Lepisosteus oculatus: one gene and its partners. The protein of the gene in region 1 purifies or fractionates together with the protein of each later gene. This does not show direct contact. Links are inferred from orthologs where the notes say so. Each region holds a gene or a part of one and is shown in the gene's direction. Other genes may lie near its edges. The genes, in order: arrestin domain-containing protein 1, hecw2a, nedd4a and nedd4l.

The links.
Region 2: the proteins of arrestin domain-containing protein 1 (region 1) and hecw2a purify together in Homo sapiens (affinity purification with mass spectrometry; 3 studies listed by BioGRID and IntAct, counting the BioPlex papers as one, with this or other methods). This does not show direct contact. The link is inferred for Lepisosteus oculatus from reciprocal best matches to the Homo sapiens genes ARRDC1 and HECW2.
Region 3: the proteins of arrestin domain-containing protein 1 (region 1) and nedd4a purify together in Homo sapiens (affinity purification with mass spectrometry; 3 studies listed by BioGRID and IntAct, counting the BioPlex papers as one, with this or other methods). This does not show direct contact. The link is inferred for Lepisosteus oculatus from reciprocal best matches to the Homo sapiens genes ARRDC1 and NEDD4.
Region 4: the proteins of arrestin domain-containing protein 1 (region 1) and nedd4l purify together in Homo sapiens (affinity purification with mass spectrometry; 3 studies listed by BioGRID and IntAct, counting the BioPlex papers as one, with this or other methods). This does not show direct contact. The link is inferred for Lepisosteus oculatus from reciprocal best matches to the Homo sapiens genes ARRDC1 and NEDD4L.

The regions. Positions count from the first base shown.
Region 1 is NC_090719.1:1,903,820-1,911,093, reverse strand, and holds the start of arrestin domain-containing protein 1, read left to right. Parts: upstream 1-4,134; 5' UTR 4,135-4,547; coding exon 4,548-4,665; intron 4,666-7,274. Other genes in the region: glutamine synthetase-like, read left to right, coding at 278-584. UniProt on the Homo sapiens protein: Functions as an adapter recruiting ubiquitin-protein ligases to their specific substrates. Through an ubiquitination-dependent mechanism plays for instance a role in the incorporation of SLC11A2 into extracellular vesicles.
Region 2 is NC_090707.1:11,052,897-11,060,226, reverse strand, and holds the start of hecw2a (E3 ubiquitin-protein ligase HECW2), read left to right. Parts: upstream 1-4,182; 5' UTR 4,183-4,752; exon of another isoform or gene 4,753-5,144; intron 5,145-6,160; exon of another isoform or gene 6,161-6,876; intron 6,877-7,330. UniProt on the Homo sapiens protein: E3 ubiquitin-protein ligase that mediates ubiquitination of TP73. Acts to stabilize TP73 and enhance activation of transcription by TP73. Involved in the regulation of mitotic metaphase/anaphase transition.
Region 3 is NC_090700.1:45,803,745-45,811,470, reverse strand, and holds the start of nedd4a (E3 ubiquitin-protein ligase NEDD4), read left to right. Parts: upstream 1-4,688; 5' UTR 4,689-5,504; coding exon 5,505-7,016; intron 7,017-7,726. UniProt on the Homo sapiens protein: E3 ubiquitin-protein ligase which accepts ubiquitin from an E2 ubiquitin-conjugating enzyme in the form of a thioester and then directly transfers the ubiquitin to targeted substrates. Specifically ubiquitinates 'Lys-63' in target proteins.
Region 4 is NC_090698.1:20,486,227-20,494,126, reverse strand, and holds the start of nedd4l (E3 ubiquitin-protein ligase NEDD4-like), read left to right. Parts: upstream 1-4,826; 5' UTR 4,827-5,354; coding exon 5,355-6,449; intron 6,450-7,900. UniProt on the Homo sapiens protein: E3 ubiquitin-protein ligase that mediates the polyubiquitination of lysine and cysteine residues on target proteins and is thereby implicated in the regulation of various signaling pathways including autophagy, innate immunity or DNA repair.

The DNA.
Region 1 (7,274 bases):
TAAATATAAATGTAACAGTAGTGTACTGCTGTCCTCTTGCTATGGACGTCTATACAATTATACTGAACTTCTCTTCCAGCTGCAGTCAGCCGTTTGCAAAAAAAATCCTCATTTTTAAGCGCTTGTTATCCCCCATATCTGTGGGAATATTGGAATGTCGTCAGATTTCCCCCACATCGGCTCTGATCCAGTGTTAATGGCATTTCCCCCCGCTGGCTCGGTTCTCTCCAGCTGCCAGCGGTGCCCTTGAGCTTCCCCCCTCTCTGACCCCCCCCAGGCACATCGAGGAGGCCATCGAGAAGCTGGGCAGGCGCCACGCCCACCACATCCGCCTCTACGACCCGCGGGGCGGCAAGGACAACGAGCGCCGGCTGACCGGCCGCCACGAGACCTCCAGCCTCCACGAGTTCTCCGCCGGCGTGGCCAACCGGGGCGCCAGCATCCGCATCCCGCGCCAGGTGGGGCAGGACGGGCGCGGCTACTTCGAGGACCGCAGGCCCGCCGCCAACTGCGACCCCTACCCCGTGACGGAGGCCATCGTGCGCACCTGCGTGCTGGACGAGGCGGGCGAGGGCAGCGCCTGAGCTGCGCCGGGTGTGGGAGGTGGACCGTACCCCCCCTGCCCCCCCCCCCCCGGTGCCCAGCAGCCTGGTCTGCTCTGCGCCGCGCTGGCAGCGGGCGGGCCGAGGCACTGGAGCGGGCAGGCGTCGGAAATATTCCGCTGACGGGGAAACGCCTTCGAGGGCGGGGGTGTGTTTGAGGAGCGAGCACTTCTTAAAAAAGAAAATAAAAATCCACCCTACCCCTGTAAGGCATTCCATGCAATATCCACGCTGTACTGGACGCGAGCTCGTTTCGCCGGGCCGGGCCCTGCTGGGCACCCCCAACGAGCCCGGAAGACCCCTCGACGGCCGCCTCCTCTACCGTTCGCTCTGCCTGTTTCCCCTCCCCCCCGATTTCATATCTGCGTTTCTGGCCCTCGGGGGCCACTACAGGCTTGGGGCCACCCCAGGCTTCTTCGTGCAAGTGTGGAGGCGGATCCCGATCCCCCACCTCCCTGGTTGCCGAGCGCCGTGGGGATCCGGATCCGCCTCCCTGCGGGATCATCCCACCTGCTGCCAGGTGCCGTGGGTAAAACGTGAAGTGGCTCAGACTGCTGTGCACGGGGGGTCTGATTTCCAGGGAGGAGGGAGGGGCATTCCAGAGGACAGTGACGGCTATCCATGATTTTTCCCTGCTCCAGGGTGTGATCTTGCACAACGGAACAGCTGTCTTGCAGGTAATGGCTTACAGCACTTTAGAAAGCCGACAATATATCTATTTTTTTAGGAGTCTTAAGCATGATAATGCTGTACTTTTATCTCGGAAGACTGTTGTAAACTTAGAGTTAATAGAGTATTTATTCAGTGGGATAAATGAAGCCGTAGGTTTTTCCAGCTCTGTTGGATGAGTTGGAGTCTGATTTTTCAGCGGTGTAGCGTTGTCGGGGAATTAATCAAAATTTTAAAATTTAAATGCGTCGCCTTCAAAAGTGGTGATACCAGCAAACAAGGTGGTGGGAGGGGCAGTCCTTCCCATGTAGCCCATATGGTAGTTAGTAGCTCATTGTCCTTGTTCAGATAGAGTTTTTTTTTTTATGCGCTCAATTAATTCAGGTGAATCTTTAGGAAAAATATCACTGTGCAGCAGGTGGAAGCAATTCACTCTCAGCTCATTCAACTTAAGGAACGACAAAATGAAACTTTGAGTTGTATTATTTTAATGTGTCACTTTTTGTATGGTTTTTAATGAAGGTGTGATGTTAATTTTACGGGTCTGATCTCCCGGCTTTGTCTTTGGGAGTATGTGTGAAATAAACGCAATAGTGCTGTCTCCACTGTGCTGCTTGATTATTCACGCTGTGGGAAAGAGCTCATTGGTAATGATGCTCATTGTTCTGAGAAACAGATACCTGGTGAGGGGTAGGCCCCATCAAGTGGCAGTTTGTCAAACTGTAGTAGTTTGAAAACCTAGCCATGAATCACGACGCTCGCTCTGACCTGCCTCGTGACGTACAAGTGACGAGAGAGTGAGCAGTTCTCCTTTGTTCCCCAAAGACTCTCCCTCCATCCTGACATCCAGGTCCAAACCCAGATCCAATCAGAGCTTCTGACCACTACCTAACAGCACACGACAAGCCCAGTGGCCTCCTTAAACCAGCTGACGCCTCAGGGTGAATATGTCTGAACAGTGTACGCTCATCTGTTGTTGTGCTGTAGGCGACGGGTTTGACCACCTGTCTTGATACCTGGCTCTTGTGAAATCTACAAGCATGCACTCTGACTTTTTACCACAAGAGGGAAACATACACCACTTCTTTTTCACTACCTGCACACTTGTCCACTGCAGTGCATCAGGGTAGACAAAGGGCCGTCTGGAGCTGGAGGGCCAGTCTGACTGCAGGTTTTCTAGATCTTTTTAAGGTATTGCACCTTAACAGAGGGGACAAGTTGTTCCCAACTAAGCCAATAACGAGCTGTAGGTTGGTAGAGAGAATTTTAAAATGTAAACCCACAGCTATATCAGCCCTCCAGGACCAGGACTGGACGTGTCCGCAAACCCTGGTTCTGGGATCTCTTGTATCTTCAGGGTCCTAATCTCTGCCCGATTGATTTCTATCTTCTATTTGGGGCAAATATTTAAACGGGATGTGTACCCGTTTAACAGTTTCTGAGGTTTGAACCTGCCCCCATGCAGGTGTGCTGTCTGAAAGATCAGCAGCTGGACTCTGTTAAGAGGCGTGTGGACAGGAATCAGGGTGAAGGGGCTGAGGAGAGATGGTGACCGTTCCTTGCGCTGAAGGCAGTGGATTTCATGCTTGAGGTGAGGTGGTTTTCAAAGTTGGGACTGAGTTCCAGATCGGCGAAGTCATCGAGAGGTACCGGAGAGCTGGAGCTCAGTAGACACAGGGGTCCCCAGGGATCAGGGGCGTAGTGTGAGCTACTGGGTCACAGGAAACCGCAATCAGAGGGGTGTGTGTGTGTGTAAGGGCGGGGGGTCCAGCACTTCCTGTCTACCCCGAAGGGGCCGATTTATTCCTAAACCACATTGCAAGGAAGAGAAATTCACAGCCAGCGGTTTTACACGGCTAGTGTAAATGTAAAATACGCAATCTAATTCCATCGTCGTCCCAGTTCCACAGAGATCCCTAGCCTGCTCCACTGGGGTCTGCGCCCGCGGTGAAACGCAGTCTGGGCAACGGGGAAGGAATTCACTTCAGTGTGTGTGTGTGTGTGTTGGTCATCTTACAATCTTACAGGCTCTCCCAGTCTGGACCATTGAGCTAGAGAACTGTGCCCTGTTGTGCTCCTGACCCTTGCTGTGTGACCAGAGACGGGTCTCTCCTCGGACTTCTACAGCCTTGTGGACCCCCCCCCCCCAACTTCGGAGCCACCAGACCATTACCATGGACTTGTAGCAGCAGTGCAGCAGCCAAGAGGCTGTTGTCATGGCAACCGGCATCTCCCTCTCTCTGCTCTGCTCTTCCTAAGTGTGAGACTGAGAGACTCCAGTAGTGTATAAAAACTACATCGCTGATGCTCAGGGGGAGGGATGGGGGTTCTAGCCAAGACGAACTTGAGTTTTCCAGCCCTCTTTACAACTTAACATTTGCCAAAGTCGTTTTTCACATAACGACTATTATTTTATTTTTTAAAAAATCTGGGCTAAATGGGCGGAATGGCTTCGAACCATGATTCCATTCTTAAATGCCTCTTCCATCCTGGGACGAGTTAGTGTATATATATACACATCGTGTCGCCTCACTGGGGTCAGGGCTTGTCAGCCGGCCTCAACAGCACAGCTGGCCAGCTTGTTCTGGACACCCACAACTCTTTGTGTAACGAAGAGTCTCCCGTCCTGAGTTCCGAGTCCAGCCTGCACTCTCCCCCTTTCCTTCATTTCCCGATCCCCGTGACCGGGCTGGTCTGGACCTGAAGCTGCCCGCTGGACTCGCATCTCGGCGCGTCTCGGGGAGGGGGGGCTTTTAAAACTTTTTTTTGAAATCGCCTCTGGCGAACTCCGCGCTTGTCTCTGAGACGCAAGACAGGGCTGGGAAAAAAAAACAAAACAAAGAGAGCCAAAAAAAAAAAAAACAGGACAGGACACGCTGGAAGAAAATAATCTCGAAGACAAGAGTCTCCCAGCCCGGGGAGCGGATAACTGACACTTCCAGGGCCGAAAAGCAGCGCCCTCATGACGTGCGGACTGCAGGCCACACGTGACGGCGAGGGCGGTGCGAGCCGGGAAGGTGTTGCGGTCCGCCGGTCCGGCGGCCGGGATCCGGAGCCACAGGGGCGAGGGAATAGCCGGGCCCACTGTGACGTCGGCGCCGCCCCGCAGAGGGAGGGGGAGTGAGGGAGAGAGAGAGAGAGGAGAGGGGCAGTAGTAGCGGCAGCAGCAGCAGCAGGTGGGACAGCGCAGCCGTGTGCGGCGCCTCTGAGGAGCACGGCCAAGCTGCCCGCGGACGACTGAGGCAGAAGGAGGGAGAGACGGGCTCCGCCGCCGACATGGGCAAGCTGCAGGAGTTCGACATCGCCTTCGCCGACGGCAAAGTGGTCTACAGCCCCGGCGAGTCGCTCACGGGCACCGTGAAAATCGCCGTGAGCGGCCCGCTGGCTTACAAAGGTGAGCAGCCGCCCCCGTCCTCGCCAAACTGTAGACGAGGGGCCGGGGTCGGACCCTGCCTTCTGTCCTCCCCCCCCCCTCAGCGCTGTGTGTCTTGGCACGCCGTGTCTGAGCGGCGCCGCTTTGGAAACGAAGTAACCTCTTTGTTGGCGGAGGTGCTGTACAGGACATCGTGGGGGGAAAGTCGCTCGTAACTATTTATCCACACAGCTGACAGGTCCGAGGAGAGAGTTGTGTGTCTGTGTGTGTGTGGGGGGGAGGATTTGGGTAGCTTATGTCTTTCATTACCGCGAAACCAGCAAGGACAGGCGTGATTAGGAGAGCAGTAATCAACTTTTGGAACCGCCTGTTTCTAAAGCGACAACCGCCGGAGCCCCCGGAGACTCGCAGGTAGCCGGACGGAGTTCCCTCCTGCTCTGGGCGAGTTGCGTGGCTGTTCCTGGGGGGCAGGAAAATATTCACTTCGCTCGGCTCTTCCGACTTCCCAAGCCGGGTTGAGAGCTTGTTCTGACGCTACTGCCCCTCTACTTATGACGCTGTCTAATGCTAGAAGGACTATAATCGAGTTCATTGTAGCGCGTATCTCGAAGCGCCTGGACGCGCAGGGCAGCGCTCTCTGTCACCTCCAACAGGTGTGCGTCTTTGTACCTGTCCACAGGACAGCGTACCTAGAAAAGGAACGCCTGGCTCTTGTCGTCAGAAGTATACGAGCACCGTGAATTCTTCCTCGTTCGTTTCGCTGTCTGTGGAATTGGCCAACTCTTTCCTGCTGGCTAGTGACGTCACTGTGCCGCGTCATGCTCTCTGGAAAAACACCTATGTTGATGAAAGGGGATTTCGCAACACGTCCTGTGTGTATCGCTTCTATTTTCTTACTAGTTGAAAGTGCATCATGTCGATCGACGCCATTCAGTTGGCGTTTACCCCTCCTTTGGCACATTTCTCCCACAATAACACAACACTCCCTCGTTATGAGCTCATGGACGTGTGTTTTAAAGAGAGCTGTGGACCACGCCTGCCCTTCTCCAGGTGGGTTGGGCAACAGGAGAGATGAGTGCAAATTTTCCACGTGGGGCACACTGCCAGATTGTTTTGCTGGGATGGGGATGGAGGGGTTGTGGAACCTGTAAGGTGAGATAGACTGGGCCTCAGGGCTCAGGATGCCATGCAGGTGATACATGGTTTTGTCCCCATTGTGTTGCAGGCTTCTGACAAAACCATGACTCAGCGCCCAGACTCTAGGCAGAGCAGAGGATATGAAGTTTCCATTCTATTTTTTTTTTTTAAGGCCAGATCTCAACAGAGCTCCTCTGCTTATGTCCAGATATGCCTATGAACGAATTTTTGCTTAAAAGCGTCTGCATAGATATTGCATTTTATTCACAGGCTTAACAGTACTTTTCTGCAGGTAGATTTTCTTTCCTAAAAAAAAAGGTTTTGAATTTCCATTTTTCCATATTTTGTACCCCTGTATTTGGTCGATGACCTTGACTTTCTCGCTGTAGCTCTGGGTATGAAGATGGTGCCCACTATCATCTGACACCTGCCCAGCCTGAGTCCACATCTCAGCAAGAGCATGAGCCTCACCAACAGAGACCGCTTCGATTATGGGCAGGACCCAGCTCTGGGCCTAGTGGTTGCTGCTACAAGGGAGATGCTCTCCCAGATTTAAGTCCACCCAGGCCCAGTGAAGCCTGGTCAGGTGTGCTCCTGTACTCTTTGAGCTCAGACGTAGTCCAGCTGAGAACTGGAGAGGTCTGGACTGTAGGGCTCAGACTTTTCAGCCTCAGACAAGAGCTTTTCATTGGGGTGCAGAGAGAGTCCTGCCAACATGGTGGGCTGCGTGACTCCTAACTTTACTGGGGCACCCCTGATTATTCATGGGGGCGGGGGGAGGGGGCGTTCTGTCATGAGGTGATTCTGCTGAGATGAGCTGGATTAATATCTGCAAAAGTCCTGCTTGAAGTTCAGTGCTGTGCGTGTTGTCTATGAGTGAGTTTGGAGCTGTTTTAGGTTCCCGGCGCTGTTTTAGTGTCGGTTCGAGCTGGGCAGGACCTGGCCCTGTGTGGCCATCTGCGAACCACATCGCCGGGGCTGTAATTTCATGTCCAGCAGCTCAAGGCCAGATGCTCTGTGGATCTGGGACGTTTATCATGACCAGAGCTCAGCGTCAGCATTGGTGCTGCTCCTGGACTGAACAGGCTCTTAGAAGAACCTTCTTTTAAACCTTTTTTGGTGGGAGGTGGTGGTGGGGGGTGTTATGAAACCAGAATTATGTGGATTAGTGGCGTGAAAAGGCAGTACGATGTCCTGGCATTTTCCTGAGCCTCAGGGAAGCTGCCAAAAGCCTCAGATGCCCGAGTTTCTAAATCTCCGCAGGACCAAATAGTACGACCTGACCTGCTGCCTGGCAGCCCGTCTTGTCCCCTGCGGCGTCTGCCCTGGCCCTGCCCGCGGCCGGGGGCGTCGCCTGAGCGTTCCTGCCCCGGAACGGAAAGGTTGGCATGAAAAATAGATCCGAGAATCTCGGGGAGGCCTTTGGTTGCTGTTTCACTTCCTTTTCCGTTCCTGTTCGTGCCAGCTGGAGTCGGCCTGGCAGAGACGTGTCT
Region 2 (7,330 bases), on another chromosome or scaffold:
TGGGGTGCAACAAAATCTTCTAGTTTTTGGACGCTGACATCTCGGAGGGGAATATGGCCAATTGGGTGAGATCTTAGAAAACTTTTAACTATCCCATAAATTGCAATATCTCAAGAAACTGTGAAAAACATTATCGTGTTTAAGTAAAGAATGTGATTTGCACCAGAAAAAAAAGAAATTGTTGCTATGTAACTGGTACCGTGTCAAAATGTAATGAGATGTGATCATATATACTGTTTTAAGTATGTATATTAATGTAAAGCTTTCTAATTTGTGATGTCCTGTATTTTTTTTTGTGAAAAGAAAATAAAGTTCTTAAAAATAAAAAAAAAACAATCGATACTGTTGGGTTTTGTTTTTGTGAAAATACTTGATTTCACTATAAACTTCTCACAATAAGCACACCTGAAGAAGGCTCCATGGCCGAAACGTTGTGCTTTTTTCTCTTTTTTTTTCAGAGTGGAATAAACCTATTAGTTGTTCCTTTACAGCCTACGCATGCTGACGCAGCTACCCACCTGAAATCTCACAATAAGTATGCACTCATATAGACTTGCAACACTATTACAACTGTTGTAACAAAAGGTGATTGTCTTTTATCAATCATTAAATTAGAGGAAGTAAATGCTTGTTAAACTCTTGTTAATCTGTTTGCAAAGTATCACCTCTGTGTCTTGTTTATGAAAACAAGATTCTTTGGTCGCTATGGTTCCACCATCTTGCCACCAGAGGGCACCCCCAACCTCTAGGAGCTACTCTTGCTGTACAGCAGAGGAACAGACCAAGCAGATGTCTTTTGCCACTCCCTCATTGTCTAGTGTCACTAGCTCTCCCTACTTTCCTTCATCAGGCCTATTTAAATCCTGCTCTCTAACCACATTGTGTATAGTGTTGTTTGCTGTAAATATTCTCATTTTTTACTATTTCCCTTATTTTAATAGCTTTCTCCTAATCCTGCTTGCTTTCCTTGTTAGCCTAATTCTTGTTTTTTGTTCCTGGGATTTGTTTCCTTCTTTTTTTTTTGCATCTTGGTTTTTCCCTGTTGGTTGTTCTATGTTCCTGGTTACCTACCTGGTTTTGGACTTTGGTCTGTTTGTAGACTTCATTAGTTGATTGTGTTTTATGGTTGTCTTCCTGGAATGCTTTCCTGGTTCTGGACTTTTGTGTGTTTGTAGGCTATGGGTGCAGATTGTGGTTTTTTGTCCTCATCATGATTTCTTTGACAGTTGGAACCTGCATAGAATCCATTCCTTGAATATCTGTGCCATCAGACAGCCCATTCAGAGGTGAATACAATGCAGAAACCAGCCCCCTTGTGCCAGGTCAATAGTGTTCAAGAAAGAAAATATAGGAATGGAAAAAATGATGAGAGAGAACCCAGAGACCCTTATTGCTGGCTGCTACCAGGCAAACAACTGTGAAAACTACCTTTTTTTTTTACTGGGCGGAGCAGTGGTTCTGTGGCTATCTTCTGCAGCTGGCAGAGGAATCCTACTCCGTTGGGCCTCTGAGGAAGGCCCTTATCCCAAACTGCTCCAAGGGCGCTGTATTATGGCTGACCCTGTGCTCTGACCTCAAGCTTCTCTCCCTGTCTGTGTCTCGTGGAGAGCAAGGTGGGGTATGCGGAATGACAAACTCCTAATGCAAGAAATTATATAGGGCTAATAAAGTGATGTTATGTTACTGAGCACCAAAAAGCCTGGCACACAGATATATGCAAGATATAATCAAATATCACCAAAAGAGGCATCAGCAGAGGTAGGCAGCAGGAACTGATTCTGGCGAGATTCACAAAGTGGTGACTACCACTTTATTAAAAAAATAAAGTATCACATTCAAAAATGAATACAAGATCTGAAATCACCACATCCAGATGCAAATGATAGAGTTTGCAGGACAACAAAAACCTGCAGTCCTCAATAGCCTTGCAGAGCCGAGCTGCAGCTCACAGAAAGGAAAGTAAAAATTCTCAAACAACAGCTTAGGAATCTGAATATTTCTTACTGCAGCCCTAAAAACAACAGAACAGCCCTGAGGCTCAGGATGCAACATAATTACACAAACCTCCACACACACTGACAACCCTGTTATCTGCACAGCAAACTCTAACACCCCAAACACTCTCACTGCACACCTGTCTCTTTTTTGCCTAAACACAGTGCGATTAACACACACCACCGGCCCCACAGATGGCCTCACCCAACACCCCCACCTTATTTTCACACATTCCCACACAAACTTCTGCTTGGCAGTATAGTGCACCTCAGGCACTCCAGAACCAGTGACTCTGAGGTAGCCATTCCCATTGACTGCAGTGGGAAATACATCAGTGAACACAGGCATTTCCCAGGACTCAAAACAGCAAAGGTATGGTGTCCAATGAAAGAAAAGGCACCTCGGCTTCCTTCCAGATCAACCCTATGGACACCAAGGCACATCATCTTCCATGGTACCAACAATCTAAAGACCCAAAGACAGCAGGCGGTTCGGTCCATCAGTCCTTCTCATCAGAATAGAGATCTCCACCCTGCTGCCAAGAAAAGACATGCAACACCACACAATCTAGAAAACGTACTCCCAGCTTTCATGGTACTGCTTCCAAACATCTGCAGCACAAGCCTCAGCATCCCACCATGTGACCCCAGTACCTAAAAGACCACAAACACCTCAAAAAGCAATCGGAATGTTTACAAAGGAGAGCACAATCGGCAGGGACCTAACCAACTCCTCAAAGAGGACACATAGCCAGAAATAAAATTATAAAGAAACGTTTTACAAATCAAAGAAAGGTTGTGAAAATTCAGGGGTACCGTGGAACCTGTTAAACACATGGTCTGAACATCATTGGTGCTGTGGTGGAAAAGCTATTGACTGTGAAAGATCCCCTGCCTCTCCCAGAATATTGCAAGTACAATATTTAAATACTTAAATATTTAAGTGCCATATTTTTTAAAAAAAATCATTAACAAATGAAAGGAAAGTTTCATAATTAGAAGAAAGGTTATGAAATTTCAAGGGTAATGTGGACCCTAATAAACACTTGGTTTGGACATTGTGGCTCTAGGTAAAAAGGTATTGACTGTGGAACAACCTCCACCTAACCCAGAATATTGCATGTAGACTAAAGTCATATTAAAAAAATCCGTAAGGTCCACAGAAAGTATTTCATACTTTCCGTGGACTCTGTAAAACACTTGGGTTGAACTTCATCGGTGCTCTTAAAAAAAGCTACCAAGTACAGCACATCTTTCCTTCTTTCAAACTTATAGCATATGTACAGTAACTGCAATACTAAAGGCCCTTTGAAATGAAAACAGAAAATGAAAACTAATTAAAGAAAATCGAATCCAACACACACACAAGATGCATTATTGTAACCTATTTTGAATTTTGGTATTCTGCTTTATATGGTCATATGCAGGTACTTCGCATATTCTCGCGTTATGAACTCATGTATATTGCACCTAAAAACGAAGGTTTCTAAATAATGCAGTGTAAATACAATTCCTGAAAAAATAAACATCAGTGGTTTGAAAGTTCTGCATGTTTTCCTCTCAAAGTTATTAATATTTGAAAAAGTGTGTATCAAAAATAAATAGGCATATAAATGCTCAAGTGAAGGATGTAAAAAAAATCCCAAATCACACACAACAAAATACAAGAAGTTTGACATCTCTAGGTGGTTTCCTTGAGACATTATTGAGGTATTAAAAGATGTAAATCGAGCTTATATTGTATATAGAACTTCAAGCTGGTTTTATGGTGGTAAATTATGTAACATAGAAATTCACATACTGTACCTCAATTCCTAGTTACACTGCTTTTCATCCGTCATTAAAATTGTAATATTGGAATTGTAATTCCAAACAACGCAAAGGATGAAATGCTGAACAAGGGTTTAAATCGGAGAGTGCAAATCGGAGAATATCTGCGATCGGGTTGAGCCTGTGTTCTGTGCGTGGGATCCGGAGATGTGGACAATGCGATAGTTTTAATTTGCAGGTTAAGATATGAAGTGCTGCATTAGAAATTCTGAAATGGGTATTATAATCATCCTGCTGCTTTAAAAAAAAACAATGGTTGTCGTTAACGACAGCGACTGTAAAAACGTTTTTTTTCGCATTCTTTAAAAAAATAATGAATTTAACAGACGTGTATAATACAATGACAAACTAGGAATGCTCTTCTCGTAGAGTGAAATGGTGATAGTTAAAAGGTAACAGAGGACCTTAATATACGGTTCTCTTTCACCTGACCGAATGTGTGTACAATACTGTATTTTTGTTTGTATACGTTCCGTAGAAATCGGTTCGCTCTCAGTTTTATGCACAGAAATCCTCCCCGCTCTCTCCTGCGGGATGGTTCAAACCCCTCTTCAGTGTGCGTTTTCTTCCTGGTTTGCTCTTTGCCTGGCGCTGTAGAAATCCAAGATGAAGGGAAAGTGGTGCTTCTGTATCCAACAAAATTAAAAACTGAATGATAACTCAACATGTTGGTATTTCACTGGGTTTGTAAAAAATAGGGGGTACCCCAGTTATCACTCCTTTACCCGTTTTGCTTTATTTTTTTCCGTTTATATTTCAGCACATATTTTCTGAAGGAGAAAGAGAATAGAAGGTGTAGTTAACGGATAGTTATGCCTGTGCATTTTGGGGATGAGGCGAAGGAATGCGTTTGTGATTGCAGGGAGCTACAGTATGCAGTGGGTGCTGTTGCTTCTGCGGCGGAAATAGGCGCCCTGGCGGATGCGAGGTGAGGTCTTTAAAAAAATACATAAGAAATGAGATTTCTCCATGAGACGACTGGCCGCTGCCCATCCACTCGAGGAACACGGGAAAACATCACCACTGCCGATTTCGGGGCGTCTCTGATTCCTCACTGCCCCTCGGACTCCTCAAACATCTGAGCAAGCCCGCACGAGCAGAGGAGAGGGGCAGGCACGGGGATGCAGTAAGAGCCGCCTCTGGCGCACGCCAAGTCCTGGATGAGGTCCGGGGCCCATCCCTACAACGCTGTAACTGGATATACAAAAAAAATACATGATTTTTCTAAGCATCTTTATGGTTTGAATACATTTTTTTAAATGGAATTGCTGGCTCCCTTTCTTTCTTGCCTCCCCTCTTTTGTATTCCTTTCTTCCCGGGGTAAGTAAGGTAGTGGAAAAGTGTATGCTTACGTAATGCGCGGCTTAGATTGTTTTTGCTTATTTTACAACCAGGCGTGCGGAATATGTATATATACACCAATAATAATAATAATAATATCTGATGTATGATAAGATTTGAATTTGGCTTGTGTTATTTTCAAAACCTTCGATCAAAGTGGGCTACGTGTGGTCTTGCGGTATTATATGCTGATTCTTTGTATTATTAATATAAATAGATATCGAGGGAATTCCCAGAACAGACTCTCCGTTCCAGAAAGCTGTGTTTTTATTCAGTAACGCTAGGGAGAGGGCTGAGGCTGTAGTATTAATGATGATACAGGCATATGCGAGTGACAGTAAGGAAGACAGGTAAAAATGTACAATAGAAATACACGAAGGAATGCATAAAACTTACTAGTACTGTACTGAATGGCTTGGGGCTTGTGTTGAATTACCTGTGTTGCACTATGATAATTACTGTATTTTTTGCATTTTTTACTTCATAACGGTACCACGCAGAAAAACCCTAAACCGTGGAACTTGTTGATGTTATGCAATTTGTTGCAGAGCAAATTGTCAATTACACTACCATAGTTTATCACGTTTTTTATAGTTTCTGTATGCTTCATTAGAATGGCGATTAGTTGTTTTTCCACCTCGTCGAGACCGCATGCCAACTGAACCAAACAACGGAAGCAAAATCATACAAATATACAATAACTGTTAATTTAATAGTGTTGTATTTGTTCACTAATTTTATTAGCCTGTCCATAAACTAGTTTTCTCCTCCATTAGAGCTTTTTTTTTAAAGATAAAAGCCACTAGCTAGCTGTTTGCGAATTTTAAGAACCTAGCCGATAAACCCAGTACAGTATTACAACCATGACGTGTAGCAGAGACAAAGCTACCAACTCCTGAAAGCCGTTTCAGGACTGCAGTATCACAGTGACATTATTTATTCCAAGGGGACGGAGTCAGCTAATTCGCTTTATTAAATTACCTTGCGATTCAGTCCAATTTCAGTGCTCGTGACGTTTGATTGGGCTGTCAGCGGGTTTTTTTTTTCCAGTAGACTAATATCCACTGTCCAGCACTCTGCGCTTCCTATGCACACCTATCCTGTATGATCCGTCACCTCTCACCTCGGATATATCCATACTGTACGTATTTCGATTCCGATCTATACAATGTACATATGATCGTATTTATGATTCGCTTCTTCATGCAGTGCGACATTTCAGTCTGTCAAAAGCTTTAAGAATTTTTATTTTCACCATGTGCACCCGAGATCCAAATAGGGGTAGTTAATAATAACATGGTTTTGCCATTATTTTTCGAAACAACCTCCTGGCAAAACTGACACACTTTGTGAAGCCCAGAAACGCTCTCCACGACCCCTGGGACCTTGCCTGTTAGGGCCCACCTGGCAGGCGACGTGTTACAAATCATATGATCACTTCAGGTCACGTGAGATGTTCCGAAATTTCGTATTGGGTTAAATCCAGATTGAAGGCTGTTTTTACGGATTGCTGAAAGAACAGTGTGATAGTTTAAAGTGGTCGGGAGTGACTCCCAAGGGTCAGTGAGAAGTCTCTCCAGGCGTCTGTCTATAAAGTGGCTAAAGCCTTCTTGTGTAGCTATGATGAGTGTGTATTGAGTTCATCACTGCTGTCCCACGCTGAGCTGACTGTGTGCTGAATCCTCATTTTCATACCCTGGGGAGCAGACAGGTAAGCCGGCTATGAGAGTCTTTATAGTAGAGTTCAGTGAGGGAATTTAGCTTGACTGCTGTTAGAATTCCAATCAAATATGTATGGTGTAAACCTTCTGCCGACTATGTGGAGAACAACTAACAGAGTCTTCACGGTAAATAGTGATATGGAAAGTGGAACATCTTAATTTGGAAAGGCACTAAAGGATGCTGTTTAAAGTATGTATCTGGGGGTCTCTTTTAGTATAACATTATGTGTGGGTGTGCAGCAGTTTACTGGCCATTCACTCACAGTTCAGTGAGCACCCTGAATGGGATCATGTGATCTCTAGGTGGTAGGCTGTCATCCTGTATTAGATTATGTGATCCCTAGGTATCAGAGGCTGTCTGGTGTCCTGGAATCTTAAGGCTTTAGGGTTTCATCCTGCACCTTCAGGTTATCCTGTAGCCACTCTTTCTGTTGTGAATCATGT
Region 3 (7,726 bases), on another chromosome or scaffold:
TGCAGGTAGAAAAAGACAGTACAAATGTAAGATTGGATGTGTTAAAGTTATGAAAAAGACTTAAGCGTTCATGTTGATAGATCATTCAAAACTTTTAGACTTTTCTAGATCTAGAAAAAAAATCATGTCACAAGAATATATACTTAAATCTGAAGTTAAAATTGTACAGTACACTAATAAGACTGCATTTGTATTATTGTGTACAGTTTTGGTTACTCTTGAATCAATAAAGAAATGTTCCGCATGGACAGAGAAAAAAAGGCAAAGAAGTAACACTGAAAATTCTAACATTCAAAATTCTTGAAGGCCCTAACACAGTTTTCATAAAAAAATGAAAACTGTGTTAGGGCCTTCCTCAGAGCTGGAAGCTAAACACAAACCAGAGGGCACAAGTGTAAACTGTATATAAAACTGAGAACAGGAGGTCTTTATACAAAGGGTTGTTGGGGTCTGGAACATACTATCCAGCCATGCATGGCTGGTTGAAGTCGGTACTCTGGCTTCTTTCAAGAAATGCTGAATGAGATCATCGAATCGGTTATAGCTTCAAAGTGGTTTTGTCTATTCCGTAACCCCTTTTATTTTCTTATAGTTATTTATTTTTAGCTTTACAACAAGATAAACATCTGTTTATTTTTTTCCTTCCTTTTGGGTATGGGAAACACTAAAATGCACAGCAAGCTGCTGATAAAAGGATCTGATTCCAGAGTGTGTTCTCTTTAAATTTTTAATAATGGTAGTATAACTGTAAGAGATTAACAGGTGTGAAATTCAACATTTTTATGTCCCCATTAAGCAGTCAGCTATTTTGGTGTGCTTGTTAGAGTTCAGATTTGCATCTGGTCAAAGGTTTAGGGTTACGCATTAAATCGTACAGTTTTAAAGACATGAAATAATGCCAGTGTGGTAATTATAGATTTAGCTGCCTGAGAGCTACTCTGTGTCTTGTAGTGTCAGTGAAGAGGAGTGAGTAGGACTCTTGATTCCTAACTGGAAGGTTGTGGGTCCAAATCCTAGCTGGGGCACTGCTGTTGTACCCTTGAGCGGGGTCCTAGCTTCAGTAAAATTCCAACCCTGTGCAAATGTACAAGGCTTTGAATAAAATTGTCAGCCAAGTAAATTAAATTATTCAGAATACTTCCATTTCTTGGCCAGCAACCATATCACCCTGCAGCTCTCAACTGGCTACCCACTGAAGTTAAGCAGGGTTGAGCGTGGTCAGTCTGGTCTTCCCAGGAGGGAAGGCACCCTTCCTGTGGTCTGTGTGAGTCCTAATGCCCCGGTATAGTAGTGGGGACACTATACTGTAGTGGGTGCTGTCTTTCAGATGAGATGTTAAACTGAGGTCCTGACTCTGTGGTCATTAAAGATCCCTGGGCATTTCCCGATAAGAGTAGAGAGTTATCCTAGTGTTCAGGCCAAATTTCCCCCCAAATTGTCCCCATGTATGATTGGGTTGCCCCTGCCCTGCGATGGACTGGCGTCCCGTCCAGGGTGTACCCTGCCTTGCGCTCGTTGCTTGCCAGGCAGGCTCCAGCTTTCTGCAACACTGTAAGGTATAAAGTGGTTCGGCAAATGCCATGACATGACTTCCATTTCCTCAGTGCACAGTAGCTGTTAGCAGTGAGAAAACCGGATCACCCAGTTGAGAAATTACCAAAATTTAGTGGCCAAACTTTTTTCTGGATTGGAGGTCTGTGGGAAAGTAAGAGAAAGAGGAGCCATACCTCATGGTGGACAGAGAAAGTAACCCTGAAGATGCTTAATGAACATCAACATGTTGAGCTGCTTGTAAACTCTTTATTTACTCTTTAATCAGTGTAAAGCCAACTTCAGGGTCTTTCCTCCCCCCACATCCTAAATAATGATATAATTCCACAATAGCCACCTGAGAGGCTTCAGCCTTTCTTTAGGCAGAACACTGAATTTGTGGACTTTTGGGATGCATTTGTCTTGTTTTGGGTACTGAATGGATTGAAATGGTCTCCTGCCTTTCCAGTGCTTACAGATAAATGTACTGGTTTGGAAATTAACTTGAAAGGTTTCTTTTGTTTTGTTTGTTGTCAGATAAATGTTAAAAATGTCCACCAAAGGGGTGTAGGCCTAATATTTCATTACAGTGCTGTCTTTCTTTCTGCCAGTGTAATATTTATTTTCACATGCGTCTAGACAAAGTCTAGACAAAATAACATGAAATGCTAATGTTTTTTTTTTTAATTTTGCATAGTGTCCACTACAAAACAGGAATTCTGATAATAGAATTTCTTAGAGAGAAAGGAAAATGTGAAGTGGATGAGAAAAAGAGTTCATGTTACTCTCTGTGTGTATTAGACAAAAACGGTAGCAAATGAACATAGAGTATGTCTCACTTCATACTGTTTCTTTATTGTGTTATTGTCTACCTGATATTTGGTTGAAATGTATTAAATTCTACTTTATGTGAAAAACAAAGATATGATTCAGTACGGGTGGCACAAAGGCATTGTGGTTAGCATTCCTACCTCGCACTGCTGGGCCCTGGGTTCAGTTCTGGACCTGGGGTGCTGTCTGCCTCGAATTTGTGTGTTCTCTCTGCGTTCACTTGAGTTTCCTCCAAGTGCTCGGGTTTCCTCCCACAGTGCAAAGACACAATTGGCCCTGGTGTGAGTATGTGTTTGTTTCTGTGTGTGCCATGTGATGGACTGGCATCCGTCCTTGTGCTCATTCCTTGCTGGGATAGGCCTGCAGCCCTGAATTGGATGAACTGGTTTGAAAATGGATGGCTGATTAAATACATACATTTGCTATTCACTACTTGTGTACAGCATGTAAATACCAATCTCTTTCTTTCAGGTTCATCCCCGAAAGCACCGCTTGCTCTTTGAAGTGTTTGATGAAAACCGTTTGGTAAGTTTATTGTAAACATAGTCATGTTTTGCATTCACAAAGCCCACTATAACTCTTCATTTTTTATATATTTGTATTCATGTATTTGTTGCTGTGACTGCGGATAGAAAATTGTGTAGTTCTTCCTGCATTTTATTTTTGTTAGGAGTTTGAGAATAATTATTTGAGAACAATTACACGTGCTGGACTTTTCAGAAAAACTGACATCTTTCACACATTAGAGTGCTATGCGACGAATTAGATAATCTGGCTGGATAATTGACTGTAGTTATTGTATCATCTTTTTTAATATGAAAAATCATTTAGTAATACTGTCAGATTTCTAAGCCAATAACTACGTAGTGGAGTGTGCTAATCATTACAAAAATATTTCAGGATTTTGAGTATGCTAAAAATAACATTTTCTTTGACTTGGTGTATTTCTCAGGCTTGATTTTACAACAAGGGTGTGTTTTTGTAACATCTAGAAGCAGTTTCAAATACTAAGTTTTGGATAAATGTCTCTTTGTATATAGTAGCATGGAGTTCTCATCGGTTGTGAATTAATCAAAACCTAAATGAAAAATATAAGGTTTAGAAGTATATCTTTTTTTTTCTTGTGAACCCATGGGCTATGCCTATAAATATCTCAGCTATTTGGTGTGTTAACTTGCAATGAATGACCCAGTATACCTTTTATTGCATTTTATTGCTACAAAATGCAGGTAAGGGAAATGGAATATGCTCGGGGGTGTTATTAAAAGTGTAAATGAATGTGTTGTCAGCACATTAAAAGCAGTAAAGTATGAACATGAAATGTTTTTTTTTATGTTACTGGCCACTGTACTAAATTACCATAAAGGTTAAATAAACTCCCACATAGGAAGATGGCGTTCTGTTTCTTATTAGCTAAGGAACCTTTCTCACTAAGAGTTAATAATAATACTGTTCTTTTTTTCCCTCTTTGTCAGTCCTATTGTTTAATATGGCAAGAAACTTTTTTGCAAATATGCAAGGAAAAAATCTGTAAGGGGAATATACTTGATTTAATTCACAAATGCTCTGCAGCCTTGAATAATGAACAGATGTTGAAAGTGTACGTGGAGGAAAAATTTATAGATGGAGTTTGGGTCTCCTCAGATGTTATTAGTGTGTTTGGACACCCCGGATTTAAAGAAAGTTGTATAGGCTGTGAGAGATTTGGAACCATTCTCAAGAGTAAAAACCAAGTGGTGGTGAGTCCGGTGAGAACATGGCAAGCTCTTCAGTTTCCCAGCTCCAACATTTGGTGTCGGCTTTGATTAATACTTAAAGCGGGCAGGTGGTTTGCCAGTTGTGGAATTACGGATATTTAAGAACACCCTACTGAGAATCTTCCAGGGCTCACCGCATAATAAGGGGGTGAGCAGTCTTGACGTTGCCTTTAAGTGAAATGGCTAAGGATTATCAAATAGGGTTCCGTTATGGGATATTTCCATCGGCTGAGTCTTTTAGAGGTGCTAATGGGTACATCAGTGTTGAGTGCCGTGTCAATTTGTGTCAGGAAGTGTTGCTTCCTCTCTGTAGGGTTTAAATATGATTCCCAGTTATGTAGCTCAGACAAAAGAAATATAAGGATCTACAGTAGCATAAGTAGATAGACAGTAGAAAGGGTTTCAGATGTCAGTAGATGTGGTGAATGTTTTCCTAAGATATTCTGTAAAAATAATAAATTCTTTTTTAAGGTTTTGAATATTCGCCTTCATACTGAAAACTTTATTTAGTTTTATTTTGGGCTTTATTAGGGCAGTGAAATGGATGATTTTCAGCAAAACAAGTTTCATAGCTGGGGTAACTCATTGGAGAATGCTTAGTGTAAACATCGCTACTTCCAGTGCTTTATCTCTTCATCAAAGGGCTTCACAGGAAAACAGACATCATTTTACAAGCGTAGTTCATTTGCAGTTAGTAATAACTACCAGTAGCTTCCTGCATATTTGCACAATCCCAGTGGTTTTCTAGTATGGATAGTATTTGGGAATTCAATCCTTGGTTTGATACTGAATTATGCTGGACCTCATTCTTCCTGATTTCCTGTAATTCTATCCCAACGGGTAAAAATATTAGTGGTGTTACGGCGCAGCAAAGAAACTTCAGACACATTGCTGCTTAAAGCAGTTCTAAAGGCTCGGCTGGCCTGGAGCAGAAGAGAGAAGTACTGTGGCGCTTGAATGTGAAATGCTAGAAGATTGTTTTTTTTGGGCTGGATTCGTTCGTGCAAATTGGAGAAGGTATAATTGAAGCGAGGTTTTGGCTTGGGTTCAGTACAGCAGCTGAGCTCTGCCTTTAAAGTTGCTACAATGCTGTTCTCTGTGACTGAATGTACCTTGGCTCCTTAAAGATACAGACCATTAGGATTTGTGCAGTCTCAGGAGCTATTCGTTTGGTTGTGCTTACACTTCAGAGTTCATCTGACCTCCCTGGCTAATAACTTCAGTACAGCCACGAGAGGAATGTAAGTTGTCACTGGAGCTATTTCGGCTATGTACAGCTACTAATGATTGTAATCACAGAACAGGATCCGAAGCAGTTGCTTTGCTTCTTTTCAAGTGGGTTTTGCTATGCCTTCCACTCGCTTACAGGATTAGAAAGTAAGACAAATGGCACAGCGGCTTCGCTTGCATTTTGCAACCAGAAGGAGCAACACTGACCCTTTATCGGAGACCTGCAGCAATGGCGTGGAGAAAAACTTCAGCGTGTCCTCCCGGAGCCCTTCAGAGAGCAGAGGGCAGAGTTCGATTCAAATGAAGGTAACTCCAGGGCAGCTGGCTTTGCCTCCCTTGTCACCAGAGTTTGGAAATTTACAGCGCTGCTCATCTGTCTTTATACCTAAGGTAAACAACAGCAAAAAGAGCACTTCTTTGCAAATTTCCCTGCAGCCTCGCAAACTGAACGGAGAGCTGGAAAGTTGCATCAGCCCTGCGGCTGTTCATGATGGCTGTTTTATTCGTGCTTCAGGTGATGGAAGAACTTGTTCAAACAGCAAACTTGTCAGCGATGACACAGGTGCTATTCCTCACTATCCCGCTGCTGATCATGCTTCCTGTAATGAAGGTGAGTTTGGATCTTGTCTGACTGGTACCAGGAATGAAGGCACCTCTTTCAGCTCTGGCGCAAATGAAAGCAGCACAAGCAGTGGGGATTCTGCGTCATGTGCGAGCCCAAGCATAGATGGAGGTTCCTGCAGCAGCAGCACAACTAGCGATGCGGGGTACTGCAGTGGTAGCAGTACATTTTTCGAACCTGACATCCCTGAACGCCCAGCAGGGCCTGAAAGGACTTTCACGAGACGAAAGGCCAAGGTACCGCTGAGGCGCTGCTCCTCCTTAGTCATTTTCCCACGGAGCCCCTGTAACACGCCGCCAGCCTCTCCAGTTAGCCCTGGGCCTGCACCGATGCGTGGTCCATACCAAACCTCCCACCAGTTCTCACTGACTGCCGGCGAGTCTGCACAAGAGGACGATCAGATTGCATCCAAAGGCTCCATCGCAACAGCGCTCAGTGGCTTGCGGTTGTCTAAAAGCAGCTGTCCCACTGTGGAACTCAGGGACATAAGGCCACTGCATCTCAACACACCAGTGCCAGATAAACCCAGGGAAACTGACATTGGTCAGGACTGTACAGCTGTTTGTGACCGATCAGAACGACACGCGAGCATTTTGTTGCATTTCTCTCGGCAACGGGCAGTTGCCCAGGAGAGCGTGAGGACAATGACACAGGGGCAGCACAGCACTTCTGAGCAAGCTGTTCAAGGGCCGGGACTCGAAACTGAACCGCTGTGCCGCCACATTAAACTCGTCCGAAGCACATCGGCATATCTCCCATTGCAGAGGAGTCCTGACTACCAAGTTGGCTTTAGGGCAGAAGACAAAAAGGAAGGAAACCAAGGTCGTCATCATGCTCTGCAGAGGAGCCTTTCCCTTGAGGTGCCATATCAACATATTTCATGCCATGTTTCCAATCCCAGGAGACATAATTCGAAGACGGGACCCCCTCATGTACACATTCATTTGTCTCCTGGGGCTGAAGGAAGGGTCTGTGGTTCCCTGAAGGAAATAAACAGAAACTCAAAGGCTGACAATGATACAGGCAGCCCTGGCAAAAGGGACAAGGTAAGCTGCTTTGTTCATGTTCCTGGTCTGTACAGAAGAGTAAAAAGGTCTCGAGGTTCAGTTCCCTTTTGTCACGAGACAAAGTTTACATGTAATCTTTCAGCACAGTCTGGTATCATAAATGGGAAGTTGTGTTTTAGATACCTTTGTGAAACAGTTGCCCATAAAACTGTTTCACAACTGTGGGAAAAAAACATCAACCAAAAAATAAATACACATTATAGTTTCAGAATAGTATTAAACACCTCTGCTCTTTTAGCTAACATTCATGCAGCAAATACAGTAGAGTGCCTGCCGTGCACCGATTATGTGCACCAGATTTTTACTGATCACTCATGAGAAGAAAACCGAGAACAACAGATGGTTACAAGATGGTGAGGAAACTGTTGATAAAGGTTTATGGTGATTGAGTCCGTCTTTTGGTTCTGCCACAATGTCAGTGTTAATGTGTCATTTTGACTTGGAAAAGAAACATTTCATTCTTAAGTTACTGCAGTTTAAAAACCACATCCCCTAAAAATTTCCGAAACCTGCTGAAGTGATAGGAGAACAAGTTGGTAGCTTTTGTACTGTGCTCTTACCTCGGTTGCTGTTTGCGGTTCTGCATTTGATTTCATTGTTAGAACAAAGACTGCCAGCTAACTCTGCAATACACAGACCGTCTGTGAGCTACCTTCAGGTGTGTGTCAGTGGCGTATCCTTCGGGAACA
Region 4 (7,900 bases), on another chromosome or scaffold:
AAGACCTTTGGTGAGAAGAAATCAAGGTCATTATGAGATAATGAATGAAATTTAAAAAATGTGTGGAGACCATAAAACTGCAATAATGTATTTATTCTCTCTAATGCTACAGGTTAGCCCGCACAACCACAGGCTCCTCTTCGAGGTGTTTGATGAAAACAGGCTGGTAAGTTTTGTTTTGCATATAAAAGTTTGTGTAGAACTGCATGAAGATCACGGGCAGTATTTTCACCTACTGTACAATTCTACAGTGATGACAGCAATAAATGTTTTATTTACTGCAGTATATGTATTGCAGTCCACCCCATTATCACTTCCCTGAGCTCAAATGACAAGAAATATTGCTGCAATTGCCATAGAGATGGTAGAATATTTTATTGGTTCATAAATGTTTTTCTAGGGCAGATCTTGGGTGCTGGTTCAGATCCGGACCTGGTGCTATCTGCGTGAGCTTGTACAGTGTGTTCTCCCTGTGTTCGCATGGGCTTTTGCCAGGTGCTCCGGTTTCCTCCCACAGTGCAAAGACACACTTGTACTGTAGGTTAATTGGCTTCTTCTGGGAAAACTGGCCCAATTGTGATTGTGTGTGAGTCCAGGATGTACAGTATTCTGCCTTGCGCCCTTTGCATGCCAGGATAAACTCCGGCCCATCCTGCAAGCCTGTATTGGCTGAAGCGGTTAAAAGATGGATGGAAAAAGAAGAATAAAACTATTTCCTCATTGAGACAAAATGGAAGCAGGGCCTACAGTATATCAATATTGTAGGTGCCATGTTTCTGAGATATATAAGTACTTTTTTATCATAAATGTAATGTACCTGCTGGTTTAGCAAAATAATCTGGACAACTGTAAGCTTATTTAGAACTTATTTAGAAGTCATTAAAAAAAATAAAGTAACAAAAGGGGAGCTTGTCAAAAGGGGGCTAATTAAATTTTAAAGGCTGAGAAAAACAATATATTTTAATTTTGCCTGAGGTCTTTATTAGCAGTACTTTATAAATCAGTTTTTTTCTCAATTTTGTGTGATTTTATTTATATTTTATTTTATTTACATCAAATGTTTAAGCTAATTGCTTTTATTTTACACTTTCTGAAGTATCATCTTAATGTTAAACATATTAGTGATGTTACCATTAGAATCTTCATTTCATGTTAATTTTCAAATAGTGTACCAAGATGCAAGTTGGTATCACTGTAAATAATAACCTGTTATCCTATAATCATTCATATTTTCTTAATATTCTGATTGATTTTTTTTTTCAATTCGTTAATAGAGCAATTATTTCTAGTAAGTAACCTCACAATTCACCTTCTAAAATACTATTTCAGGAAAAAGCCCAATAACACCACACAAGCTTTCTTGACATTTATTATTTTTATCTTCCTTAAATGCGTTATGTGTTTTGATAATGACTAATTGATACATTAATGTTTAGGTTGGTTGTTGTAAATAGTTTCTTTTCCTCTTGATACGGAAGGGTTTGCATGGTATCCTACACACAATTACCTTGTTTTTTCCTTTGCAGAGTTCCCTTTTCATGTATTAACTTTGCAGATCTTTTCTATTTAATTTGTACTGCAATTTTGACTCATTCCTTAAAAAATGTTGTTGAAGGGACAGACTGATGTGATAACACAGAAGAGATGTGAATTTTAAACTAGCTATTAGACAAAAGCTGTTTCTAATTTTTTCTAGCTTTTTTTTCATGGTAACTTTCATTTTCACTTCATTGGAATACTGTATAGCTGCCTCGCTTATTTATGTTTTTTTATGTAAATTTCAGATTTTATAGTTTACAATGTAGTTTGATGAGTGTCATGAGAAAGGCCTTGTATGTTCGAGATTGGCTCCATTATTACACAACGGCCCTGATCTGGTGTTAATGATCTGAAAGCTAGTGAGACAGTTGCCTTCTATTCTCCTGGTGCCAGGATGGAGTTAAAGCTGTTTAGAAGTAGTGTTTAGTTTCTTTCGCCATCCAACCTGTGTCAAGTTTGATTTAACGCCTTCCATTTTGGAAACCTAAAAAAACAGAGGAAAGTTCTGTTAATTAAAAGATAATATAAGCATTTCAACCTCTTTTTAATTACCCAACATATTATTCCTTAAGTCTTGCAAAGCTTGTCAGGATAAATATGTGTACGTGATAACCTATTCTAGCACACTCTAAAAATAAAGCTTACAAAAGCCTCTGCTAGTGTAATTCCTTATCCTAAGACATGCGAGGTTTCAGGTAGTCTTCAAACACTAGGACTGTTTAATAAACAGGAAAGTATATTTGAAATAGGTATTTCACCCAAATTGACCATTAGAAAAAACATTCTCGTCTCTTTGTTGTTGTATCCTCAAGTTACAGGATGAAAGACTGTATGGTTGCCAAAACACTGGCTATTCTCTACAGAAATATGTGGAAACTGATTTTAATGCCTATGTGATTTTAAATCAAAGATGTTGTACAGTGAAAAAAGTAGTTTTATAAAGGATGTCTGTATAGATTTATGCATTTCACGTTCTTTATTGATAGAAGTTGGTTGTGCAGATTGATAATTGATTGTGACTCGATCGTCAACACACTGGGATATGCTGAAGTCGGGCAAGAGAAACATTTAGGATCAGGAATCTTGGAGTGCCTTGATTTTACACCACAGCATATATTCTTATAAAACTTACCTTTTATAAATACAAGTTAATCACTTCATGCTTGTATTATATTGTTTTATGATATACCATTGTGGGATTTGGGGATTGATTAGTTGTCCTCAATTAAAATGGCCCAAAAATTATTAATCAGTTACTTGTTAACTTAAACAGCTACAGTATGTCATGTGATAAATCCCAAAAAGTTTATTTTAATTATAATATTAAAGATTCATAAGGTTGTTGGACTTCAATTATATTATTAAATATATTGCATTTGTAGAAATGGACAGAACATAAGAAAATAAGAACGTTTATACATAAGAGGCCATTCCCTAAGCTCATTCGCTCTGTTACTAGATAAATGATCCAAAGATCTCATCCTCTTGAAAGAAGCCAAGGTATTAACTTCAGTAACATAAAGTATCTGGGTAGCATGTTCCTGATTTGGTCCACAAACCTTTTTCTACAAAAAATGCCTCCTGTTCCCTGTAGTTTTGATCTGTTTCTACAGGTTCATGTTTCCATTTCAATTCTGTAAACCTCCATTGGGTTGAATTTGTCTTTTCCTTTGAGAATTTTGAACAGTTGAATCCTTTCCATTTGTTGTCTTCTTTGTCCAGATTCCTTATATATTAAGAAGACAACGGAAAATGGGATAATTGTTTAATGACAACTAATTACTTTGCTTTGCACACAAAATTGACGCCTAATGTCTCAGTGACTACTGTAAGTTACAGGCACACAGACAATGAGAGGAAAAATGATTAGAATACTCCAGCACACTGTTAAACCAAATACTGGGTTAACATTTTTTTAGTTCTGGTGCTACACCCTCTTTTTTAACAACTTTGAAAATGAGGCTTCTTGCTTATTTGTAAAAAAAGGAAAAGAGTAATAAACAAATTTGTACTGTAAGTAAAATCACATTAAAATGAAGACAAAAAGATTTTATTTCTGCAGGCTGCAAGCACCTGTATCCCTGAACTTTGTGCAGGTGCATGTTCATATGCTCTAAACTGCACTGACATGAACACAAAACAACATATTCAGTTGCACTGCTTACACAATGTTCCTTTTTATTCCATAAACTAACTGCTGACTTGCTAGCAACAACCTTTCGCGTTCTCTAAACAATCCATTCTGAGAGCTCCCATTAGAATGAATAACTGCATTCTTTCATTATGAGTTCTTCACGACACACCATAAGACGTTAGGCTGTCATCAACTCACTGTATTGTATTTTGCAAAGAAAGTCTTATACGCTAGGGTAACAGGCTATCTCAGCTGCTAATATACTGGCACTAAAAAAAAAGCTATCCTAATGATTGTCAGCTTTAAAAGACCAGATTGGAATCCTTTTAATTTCTAATGCAGCATTAATGATTTCTTGAAAAGTAATCACTCCTACAGTATAAGCCTATGCATTATAAAATTCTGGAAAGTAATTAATGTTTATGAGTTTGTGACCCATTTATTTTTATAATCCAAATTGGCACTCACCCTCTGTATTTTTTGATTGTTGACTGTACAAGTCCATACATCTACTCCCTGTTACTAGAATGTGAAACTTAATAATATAACTTTTTTAGAAACAAAATATAGTTGTAATACTATATTGTTGTTACAATGAATTCTGGCAAATATGTTACCAGATTGTGATCTGGTCATCTCAGATTTCACATTTCCTTTTTCAGAAAAAAAGTCTGTGTAAATTAGAAATGTTTTTGAAAACTCATTTTGTTTCTTTTTGTTTTATTTCATATAAAAGAATTGACTGAGATGTATTCATTTCAGTCTCGTACAATATGCCACATTTATTTCTGCCTGTAGATTAAAGCAACATATTGTAAAGTGCTGTACATATATGGCTGGTTAAAAGAAAATATCTTTCCTCAACTGTACATTTTGATGGTAAAAGGGAATATGTTTGTATTTTAAAGGCACTTTATTATTAGTTGTATTTTATTTATGTTTCACATCTGGGTTTATACTATATTTTAGTTTTGAATAGTTTTTAAGCTAATGATAATTGTACTGATGTCAAAAAGTGAACTTAAATTGAATTCCAAGATTGTGATATAAATGTTTTTTTTTTCTCTTAAACATTGAAGAAATGGTTACAGTTAGTACAATTTTACAATACTAGAACTCTACTGGTGTTTAAATCCCAGATACCACAGAAAAGCATGGTCCAGAACCCATCCAACGTCCCCTGCTTGTAGGATGTGGTTTTAAGATTTATAGCTGTGTTGAATTTGTGTTGCCTTACTCAGCTGTGAGCGCTCTCTCTCCCACTGGGGCCCTCTCCTTTCTGATGGATAAGGAGCAGCTGAGAAGGTGCTGTTTCAGTCTGGGACTGTTTAAAACCAGAGATGTACTGGCAAGTATTGGTGAGGGGAACTGCATCACGTGACCACAGCCATCCTACCCCATGTCACAGTGTGTAGGAGCGCCGAGTGCCCTTATCCAATCATGCCTGGAATGCTGCTTGTCACTTGGGCTATTTCTGCTATCTGTCGCTATCAGCCTGCAGTGCTAACAGTTTGGCAGATGGGACACTTTTTTTTTTTCCTCTGGAGTTTGCAGCTTTGAGTTTTTAACTCCCTGGCAGTGCCTCTCTTGTTATTGTGGCGTGAACTCCTTCTGCTTTGCTCCCTTCACTGAGGGAAGAGAGAGAGAAACTGAATCAGACAAAGGGAGAGAGAGGCTCAACATGGCCCACCGACTGAGGCTTTACTTTGGCTCCGGGCGTAGCAACACAGCCCCTGAGATGGAGGAGCTGGAGGGGGCAACAGAAGACGACATTGCCATGACATTCCACACACTGCCTCGCAGGAGAGGCTTACCTCTTTTCTCCGATCCTGAAAGCTCCTTGTCCGGAGAAACCTTCCTGAAACGTAGCTCCTCTATGTTCATCCCTCAGCTTTCAAACCCGATAGATCCTCGGCCCACAAAAAGCTCATCAATGCAGATCTCCTTGCAGCGCATCCCTGGAAATGGAGAAGAAGAAGAGTCTCCTACTCCTAGTCCCGAGTCTTTCCTGGGCCCAGCTCCAGCCTACAGGGAGCCCAACAGGAAATATTCCTTGCCTACAGACATGCCCAGAAACAATGAAGCTTCACCATGGACTCCAGCATTTGGGAACCTGTCTGGTGATCCCAGTTCACGCAATCGTAGGGTGTTTTGTATGTTGCCTGAAGAATGCCAAAATGGCCACAGCAGTCCAGGAGTGATGAATGAAGATCTACCCAGTGGAATTAATTTTGGTGGTTTCTGCATTCAGAGGAATTCTACTGGGGGCTCAGAGTTTCAAATGCTGCCTTGTGGAGCCCAGGGGCAGAATGGTCCCCACCGCCGCTGGTCTGTCCACCAGGATTCTAATGGCACCCTGGGCAAGCAACGTTTCATAGTTCAGCTCCAGCCAAATCAAGCTGGCATCCCCAAGGGCTCGCGGACAGAGGGGGCAGATCTGGGGTTCACGGGCACCAAGGGAGAGCGGGTGGTGAGGTATCCCCGAATAAGACTGGAGAGGAGCACCTCGCAACCGGTGCAGCCCAGAGCTGTCACCCCACTACTTCAGAGTAGTGCTGGAGATGGGCAGGACACTCCAGGAAGAAACCAGGACCCTGAGGGCCAGAGTAGGAATGTGGATGATGCTTTGCAAGGTTGCACCTTTAAAATCAGACAGGAACAAAACAACAGGCAGCCCCAGTTTAAGATCTATTTTACCCGAGGAGGAGAAGAGCAGAATCAGAGTTCACCACAGGATATAAACTCTGGAAATAGGCAAACAAGGATTAGCTCCCAGGTAATGTGCTGTGCTGTGTGCTACTACTGTATATAATTTAGTATTGTTAATTTTACTGTTATTGGTACTGATTATATTGTTTGCATTTATACTGATAAATATAAGTTGAAACAGCTGTTCCTGCTGGCAGGAATTTCATTAGGAAAAATGGGTAGGTTTTAAGATTAACTAACAACCTTCTTCTGGAAAGTGCATCCACTGTTTATCTATACCTTGCAAATGAAAAACCGAAGGGTTAGAAGAAGCAGCTTTCAGAGCTTGGAAATGAGAGTGGATTTATTCTAGAAATTGCTTTAGGAGAGAAGCCTGTGAGTAAGGCAGACTGACCTTTATTACTCCCCCGGAGGACTTTAAACGTTTACGTACATAAATGTTTTTTCACTTAAGAAAAATGTAAAATCCATAGGTATGTACAGTATTTGAGTGTATGAGCATTCATCCATCCTTTTCAGTCTATTTTTACAAGTGAGTTTCATGGCCTGTATGAACAGAGACTTATAACAAACAATATTTATAGTTATGCATGATTTATTGGTTACTAGATAGAAATTTTTAAGCATTTAGATAAGTATATGAACAAATAAGTATTGCTTTTGCATTTCACTCTGGTTCTATTTTTTAAATTATTTTGTTGTTGTTGTTGTTGTTTTCTGAGACTGCCAGAGTTTCCTGGCTGGACTTAGTCTAATTAATTGTTACGGGTAGGGTCATTAGCGTATGAGCTGTAGGGTTACGTTACATCCGACAAGACTGTTTTTAAAAGCCATTTCTTTTAAAGGGGCCATCTTCATATTTTTACAGTATCTCTGTAATCTTTTTGTGATAAAAACTACTTTCTGAAGGAAGTTACGCTCTATTACAAATGACCACGTTTTTTAGTAAGTCATATAATAGCTCTATATGCATGTATTAAATCTATTAACAGCTAATCAGTCTTAAAAAATAAGAGTTCTGTAAAATCCTTAATCCGCATCATTCAAAGTCATTGGATCCTTAATGGAGAAAATGTTAGTGAAGTGCAAGCACTCTCTTCGCCCTAACTGTCCATAGGATTCACTGTTACAATGAAATGAAATAAAAATGTGAAAGAACCTCAGTGTTTCTGTGGTTCTCCTGCAGTATCATATCTCTAGATTAAAAAGACCATTTTTTCTGCTGCATATAACACAGTTAAAACTATTAAGTTGCTATATTGAAACACTAACCTTTTTTATTAAACAAATATTCACTGTACATTAATAACATTGCAGAATCTATCCAGCATATCATCTGTGTCATGGTGGCGCCCGTAATGGTAATTAATTTCATGATTTTTTCTTAGAGATGGACAATTATTGACAAAGCTGAAGCTTAGCATCTGTGCGCTCATATTGCTCCTACAAATACTGTAGCTGGCAAAATACCTTTTGTTAATGTGCTATTTTAATTTTGTTGTTAACATCCATTTCATT